2 linked regions of the Rattus norvegicus genome follow. Each later gene encodes a partner of the first gene's protein in a complex. Links are inferred from orthologs where the notes say so. Each region holds a gene or a part of one and is shown on either strand. Other genes may lie near its edges. The genes, in order: Rad18 and Ube2b.

Region 1 (4,506 bases):
GTGATTTTTATCATTGCCATAACTTCGCACAGCAACTCACTCCCCTTAATGTTCCTAGAACTATCCAACAGCTCCCAACTCAATTTCATTTGATTGGATGGTCCAGATCCATCATACATCTAATCCTCCCACTTGTCTTCTGGTTGCTGGCTTGCTAGATTCAGTGTCTGAATGTCTGAATCTTTTTCCTGTTAGGACACCCAGTTCCTGTATCTGTACCTGGAAAGATTTGTCTTGACCAGATTCTTATGAGACTATTCTGTGGTAGCTTATATGCTCAGAAGCCCAACACCCTAAGTTCTACTTACCTGCAAAATGCCCTTCACCAATTACCCATTTTTCTTTTCCTTGAACAGGAATAGACCAAGTAAGTACACAGATGTAAAAAAAAAAAAAAAAAGCTACAGTAGTGCTTTGAATACAGGTGGTCTCTAATATGTGTTAGCTATTACTGTAATAAGTAAACTATCACGTAAATGTTATTCATGTCGTTGTTGCACAGTTCATAGGTGAGTGTAGGCTAGGGAAAATTAATTGGCCCAGATTACAGAGGTCATTTTATGATAAAAACTCAAAAGAATGAAGCCCTAACCTGTTGGGTCTCAGGCTTCACGTCTCTAAAGTATTGGTAACAACCACACCTCTCTGCCTACTTCTCAGGGGAGCTCATCTGCCTGGTCCATTGTAAGTCTTCAAAACATACATGCTGAACCAGTGAATGTGTGGGCCACCTGGGTATCAATGATACAGCAAGCTAGAGGGTTCTGTCTTGGGTGGCATCTGGACCAACTTGTGGTCCCTGGGACTTAGTGCAATGGAGGCCCACAGAAGGCAGAGGATGAATGCTGCCCCACATCTAGATAATGGGGCTCTGGTTAAATCAGCCTAAAAAGAACCTTGCGGGAGACAGGTCAGGGTGCTAAGACATCACCTGGAAGCTAGAAGAGGATGAGGAGCTTATCAATTAGTTGGAGTAATTTGATAGAAAAAGAATGTGGGTTCCTGTTAAACTGATTTAATAATACTCTTTGCTAACACTGGACCTTATACGTGGGGAATATCTGAGAACTAAGTGCCATTTTTAACCGTGGTTATCGCTGAAGAACAGAGGCTCTATGTGGCTCTGGTGAATGCTTACAGAAAGAGGAGTTGAGACAGAAGTGTAATTTTATATATTTGCAAGGAGCAGGACAGATCTCTATAGAGAATACTACCTGAAGGGAGATGTGAGCCTAGACCTTGAACTCTCTATCAAAACTTAGACTTTATTTGGTTTCTGACTTTTTCCTAATATTCAATCAACTTCGGGAATCTTTTGTTTACTCACTTTACAAGACAGACTAAAGCTGCCCTTAATATTTCAATTATCTTCTTTCTCCTGAGGTCCAAGGGGTTGAAGGCCTGCATTGCTCCAGGCTATGCCTTGGAATTCTTTTTCCTCCTCAGTCTTCCAAAGCTGTTGACGCCCAACGCACGAGAACTACAGCTCCCAGCATTCTGTGCGCTCTCTGTGAGCGCGCCGCACGTATCTGACGTACGCTGTAGCGCGGGGAATTTCGAGTAGAGGAACTGCGTGGCAGGCCGGTAGCTGGTGGTCTCGTCAAGTGCGACCATGGAGGACCTGGCCGAGCCACGGTGGCCTCCGGGGTTGGCGATGATGAAGGTGAGTGTCTGGGGAAGGCCGGGGTGCGGACATCGTCGGTGCGAGCGGAGCGCCCCGGTCCGCGCGCCCCCGCCTCGGCCCTATCCTGACTGGCCTCGCGACGCCGGGCCTCAGTTTCCAACCCCCGAGACGGTTCGGGAACGCGCCGCGGTCCTGCGCAGTGAGCCCAAGGTGGCCGCCCTAACGAACCGGATGTTTTGGGTTTCTGTCACAATCAGCGCGTCGCCGGGATAAAGTCACTGTAACGCAGTGTCAACGATGGTGACAGTTCATCCTACGAGAACTCCTGTGTTAACAGTGACACCACTCGTGATTTGGGTGGACGTTGCATCGGATGACTTTTTATAATCAAGTAGCATAATAGGCGGTCTGCTTACCATGGTTTTCCATTTCTGGATGAGGTCCAGAAGTGCTCCTTGTTCTTCACACACTGCAACCGGTTTCCCTGCCTGTTGTGCCCTGCATGACTCAATGATGACGCATCCCTCTCTATTTAATGTTTATTTATTTTATTAATGTAGGAGACAAGGTTTTACCCCGTAGCCCTTGGGTGGCCTGGAGTTCGGTATGTCGACCAGGCTGACCTCAAGATCCACCAGCTCCAGCAACCTGAGCGCTCCTCCCTGGCTCACATCTTTTTAAAACCGAGGCCAGGACCTAGACCCACCGCTTAGCCTTTCGTTTTAAGGAATTATTGCATACTGAATTATCTCACTTAAATAACAGTTAGTGGGTTTGTTTGTTTGTTCTGAGGCGGGGTTTCTTTGTGTAGCCTTGTTCTGTAGAACAGGCTGGTCTTGAACTCTCCGAGATAGCTTGCCTTCCTCTGCCTCCGGAGTTCTGGGATTAAAGATGTGTATCACCTCTGCCCATCCCGTGGATTTTTTTTGTTTTTTGTTTTTGTTTGTCTTTCTACCAAGAATGATTGAGTAGCCCTCGTGCCTCTGTCCGCTGAGTGCACGCTTTACCATTACTTTTCTTCTACATGTAATCGGTACATTGTATCTACTACAACGTAAACATTTCCCTATGACAGTTTTTTTTTTTTTTTTTTTTTTGCTTTTGATATTGGGTTTTTTTTTTTGTTTTTTTGTTTTTGTTTTTGTTTTTGCTTTTTTTTTTTTTTTTTGAGACGGGGTTTCTTTGGATAGCCCTGGTGTCCCAGAACTAGTTCTGCCTCTGAGTGCAGTCTTTTTTCTTACTGTTCTTAAAAAACAATGCATCTTGGGGAGACCGATGGCTCCAGCTGGATAGGTAGAAGAGGATTGCCTTTTCTGGTATCACTGGGAGGAGAGCCGGTTGGTCCTGTCAGGGTTGGGGAATGCTAGGACACTGGCTAAGGCAGGAGCTGAGGCAGGAGTGGGTGAGCGGGTGGGAGAGCACCCTTGTAGATGCAGGGGGAAGGGAGGAGAGGATAGGGGGTTGTGGAAGGGAAACTGGAAAGGGGGATAACTGGGTAGGCCAGTCGGGGAGCATTCTCATAGAGGCAGGGGGACAGGGGAGAGAAGGGGGTTTGTGGAGGGGAAACCAGGAAGGGGGGGGTAACATTTGAAATGTAAATAAATAAAAACCAATTAAAAAAAGATTTAAAAAAACACAATGCATTTGTTACAACCTCAACATTTCCCTTCCTCAATTGATTACTTGTTTTATTTGTTTGTTTTTGTGTGTGTTGTTTTTTTGAGACAGGGTTTATTTGTTGTAGCCCTGTCTGTCCCAGAACTAACTCAGTAGACCAGGTTGGCCTAGAACTCACAGAACTCACTGCCTCTGCATTCCAAGTGCTGGGATTAAAGGCATGGGCCACCACTGCCCAGCCCAAGCAGGATTTATAGCTATGCAATGTTTCATATGGATTGTTAATGACAACTTTTTTGTTTGTGTTTGGTTTTATGACAGGCTCCATATGTGGTACAGTTAGGCTTGGAGCTTGCTTACTGCCTAGCCCAAGCTGGCTTCTAACTTTGAATCCTCCTGCTCCTGCCTCTGAAGTGCTAAGATTAAAAGTATGAACTCCCATAGTTTTATTTGCTTTCATTTACGTTATTTATTCTAAAGAATGATCTTTTATTTTGTGCCTTAAGTGCTTTACCTACTTGTATGTACATGCACTGCATTCGTGCCTGGTGCCCATGGAGACAGGAGAGCGTTACCTCCCCTGGAACTGAAGTCATGGATGCTCGTGAGCCATGGATGGGCGCCGGGAATCCAGTGCAGGTCCTCTTAAGTGCTGAACCATCTCCTGCCTCTGCAGTTTTTAAGTAATAGATTCATATAGTTCAGGAAGTACATAGAGTGAAAAAGATCTCCTTCCTGTCCTGTCTCATTGCCCAGCTCCCTCACCTTAGTGACTGTGACCGATTGCTTTGTTGTGTCCTTTCAGAAGTTTCTTTATATGTGATAGAGAATATATTCTACTTTGGTGGTGGTGGTTTTTGGTTTTATTTTGCTTTTTGAGCAGAGTCTTCACTCTGTAGCTCTGGCTGCCCAGAAACTATGTAGATCAGGTTGGTCTTGAATTTGGATCCTCCTGCCTCTGCCTCCCCAATGCTGGGAAGCCTGTGTCTCAGGATGCTAGCCAGGGCCACGTCCTTCCATGCCAGACCGGGATTCTGTCCTTAGCCTCCCATACTTCATTTCGTGGGAATCAAGCAGCCCACTGTAATTACTGTCAGTACTTCTCTTAAACAAATTAAACAATTTTAGGTTGCAAGAATAAATCTGGTTCTGTGTAGCTTGTTGTCCAAACTGACACTGGACTTCGCTAACTGTTTTGAAGGTTTCCTCATTTGGCTGCACTGTGGTGTGTCATGCAGAAAGTGGTGGACTATCAGGAGGATGGG
Region 2 (2,856 bases), on another chromosome or scaffold:
TGGCCATCTCACAGCTGTACTATTGTATTCCCTGCCTGCTATGTGGGGGACAGTGGTTAGTAGTGGAGTACTTACCCAGCATGCCCCACACCTCAGCCACAAAAAACGTGGGTCTGGGAGGTGGGCAGTGCTGGCACACACCTTTAATCCTAGCTATAGGAAAGCAGAGGCAGACGGATCTCTGTTTGAGGGCAGCCAGGGCTGCACAGAAAAAAACGTGTCTTAGAAAACTGAGAGATGGCGGGATACTAGCACTAAAAAATAAATGAAATGAAATGACTAAGGTGTTTAACAGGTGTTAAAGTTTAACGAGAGTTAGCTGCTCATTCCGTGGCAAGGAAGTTGTTATATGCTGATGAGTGTTGTCAGCTGATTTCCTTGAAATGGGAAGTCTTAAGGGAACTCGGAATTGTTTTGGAAGCTTATGCCCTTTAGCCACAGGAACCTGCTTCATGCCACTTCAGAAGGTTTTGCGATTCTGTTCTGTGTAATTTTTTTGTCCTCATCTGAGTCCTGTTAATATAGCATATAACTGAGCAGCATTTTCTTCTCTCTGTCTTCTAGTCTCTGTTGGATGAGCCGAATCCAAACAGTCCGGCCAATAGCCAAGCAGCACAGCTTTATCAGGAAAACAAACGGGAGTATGAGAAGAGGGTTTCGGCCATTGTTGAGCAGAGCTGGAATGACTCATAATAGACACCTGGTCTGTCCACCTTTCCATCGTCGTTGTGTATAATTTACCTCCCAGTAGGAAGGCTAGCAAGTTTTAAGTGCCACGGGTTTTAAGGATTCTGCAGAGAAAAAAGAAAAAGTCCTTCAGTTTAGAACCTACAAAAGCTTGTGTATCTTGATTAATGTACTTTTTATTGCATGGTGTGAACTAAGTTATTGCTGCATAAATTTGTAATATATCCTGTTTGTATTTTTTTCCAAGTGTATAATGTTGGTGTGGAGTTTTCATGACAGAATATACACATTTTGTAAATCTGTACTTTTTTCAAATATTGAATGCCTTATTTTTGAATTCTTTAGATTTTTAAATTGGAGAAAAGCACTTAAAGTTTTTTATATATGAATATTACATGTAAAGCTGTTAAAATACATAACTTCAGTGCAAGAGACTTTGTCACTTATTTCCTTACCTGTGCAGGAGGGACTGCCAAGTCTCTGCTCTTCGCCAGGTGAGAGCCTCATTTCCAACTGCAGAAGGTCACTCTTCTGTTTTATCAAGAAAGTCTGCAAATTTGATTCTAAAACCTATTCTGATCTCCGGCTTTATTTTGAATGTACTTATGTTAGTTCAGTTGAGTAACTATAGACTTACTGGTCTGGTTCTGTCCAGCTCTGTATTTGGGCCACTTGTTAATGTGCGTTTCTCATGTAAACTGTACCTTTTGTGACTTCACAATTGGCACCTCGTCCTCGAGCAGAGCTGACTTACTCTGCTGCGTGGCAGCACCTCCACAGGCTTTTGATTAAGAAGAAAGTAAAACCATCACCATTCACCAAATGCCGTGCCGCGGTGTTAGCAGTGGCCAGGTGCGCTGGTTTGAGCAAGGCAGAGGTTTGGAAGGAATCTCGGTGTAACTTGAATATTTGCAAACTACCTTTTAATGCGGCTGCGCGCTACCTGTTTATTCCGGAACTGTTGAGCACCAGGGCCTGCCGAGTTGCTTCTCACCTCCTCAGTTGTATTCAAGTTGTACTGCCTCTTAGTTTACTGGGTAGACTTAAAACACAGTATTGTAGAAAGCTAAGACGAAGCTATCCTATGCCTTCAAGTAGTATAGAAAATGGAAAATATACAAGTAAATTCTGTTGAACCTCTTGTGTAGTCTCTGTAGTAGTTGAAACAGCTATTGCAGTGAGCCCGAGTTTCTTGTCATCCATACCACCCTCCTAGAGACATGCTCTGGTGGCCTCTCCGCTGGAACATTGGGTTGCAGAGTGACCATGTCTTCTGTTTACAAGCAAAGTTTAAACCTGGGATGGATAAGAACTGATACTTTCCTTTAGGAGTTGTTATCCCAAGGGGTTCATGAGTTACTGGTATGTGCTGTTTCTGCAAGACCCCAATCTCCGTTCCCAGTTCCCACTTCAGACAGTTCACAGTTGCTCATAACTCCAGCTCCCCGGGGATCCAAAGCTTCTCACTAAATCAGACACTGGCATTCACATAAACAGACACTACATAATTAAAATAAAAGTATTAATTTATTAAGCTTAGAATGGTGGCACCTAACCTGCTTATATCCTTGGGAAGTTGTGGGGATCGTGGTTCTAAGCCTGGTACACATAGTGAGTTCTAGGCCACTTGGGGGACATGGTGAGACATGTGATGCTTCTGCCATTTATTTAGCTCCACAGCTTCCTTCCGGGGACTTGGACAGTAAATAAGCGGTACCTGGGAGAGGGGCTCAGCTATTTCACTAAACAACATCCTGGGTGTGTCAGCACCATATTCATTCTTAGCTATTTTCCTCATCCATTTGACAACAAACATTTCAAGTACGTACTTGATAAACAGCTAAAAGAGTTGTCAGATGGTGGACCGGCTGTTAAGTTTTGCTACCTCTCTGGCCCATCTGACTTGGAGAAAGCCCTTAGAAACATTCTATTAGTCACTCCTGTTTTGTGTTCGGTAGCGGACCAGATCTAAATTTTTACCATGCAGAAGTATCCGTTTTTTGTTCTGGATACATTTGTACAGTGAGAAGCTAGAACTAAGCAAGGCATCGAGGTCGAGATAAATGCGCGGGATTTAGATGTATGTGCTTGAGATGCATTTTCTTGGTCAGCCTGGCAGAGAGCAGCCCACATGGCACCGTTCTATTAGAGATCAGGGAGCTAGGTACA

What was found.
Region 2: the proteins of Rad18 (region 1) and Ube2b are in contact, whole or in part, in a crystal structure (PDB 2YBF), measured with the Homo sapiens proteins. The link is inferred for Rattus norvegicus from reciprocal best matches to the Homo sapiens genes RAD18 and UBE2B. Residues at the interface, in NP_064550.3 of Homo sapiens: Tyr342, Arg343, Lys344, Lys345, His346, Lys347, Glu349, Phe350, Leu353, Val354, Gln356, Ala357, Arg358, Lys359, Gly360, Tyr361; in NP_003328.1 of Homo sapiens: Pro20, Val22, Gly23, Val24, Ser25, Gly26, Ala27, Ser29, Glu30, Gln35, Asn37, Ala38, Val39, Phe41, Gly42, Pro43, Glu44, Glu49, Asp50, Lys54, Leu55, Val56, Leu73, Ser74, Asp151, Ser152.

The regions. Positions count from the first base shown.
Region 1 is NC_086022.1:147,373,926-147,378,431, reverse strand, and holds the start of Rad18 (E3 ubiquitin-protein ligase RAD18), read left to right. Parts: upstream 1-1,562; 5' UTR 1,563-1,612; coding exon 1,613-1,663; intron 1,664-4,506. UniProt on the Homo sapiens protein: E3 ubiquitin-protein ligase involved in postreplication repair of UV-damaged DNA. Postreplication repair functions in gap-filling of a daughter strand on replication of damaged DNA.
Region 2 is NC_086028.1:36,748,738-36,751,593, reverse strand, and holds the end of Ube2b (ubiquitin-conjugating enzyme E2 B), read left to right. Parts: intron 1-564; coding exon 565-693; 3' UTR 694-2,229; downstream 2,230-2,856. UniProt on the Homo sapiens protein: E2 ubiquitin-conjugating enzyme that accepts ubiquitin from the ubiquitin-activating enzyme E1 and transfers it to a E3 ubiquitin-protein ligase. In vitro catalyzes 'Lys-11'-, as well as 'Lys-48'- and 'Lys-63'-linked polyubiquitination.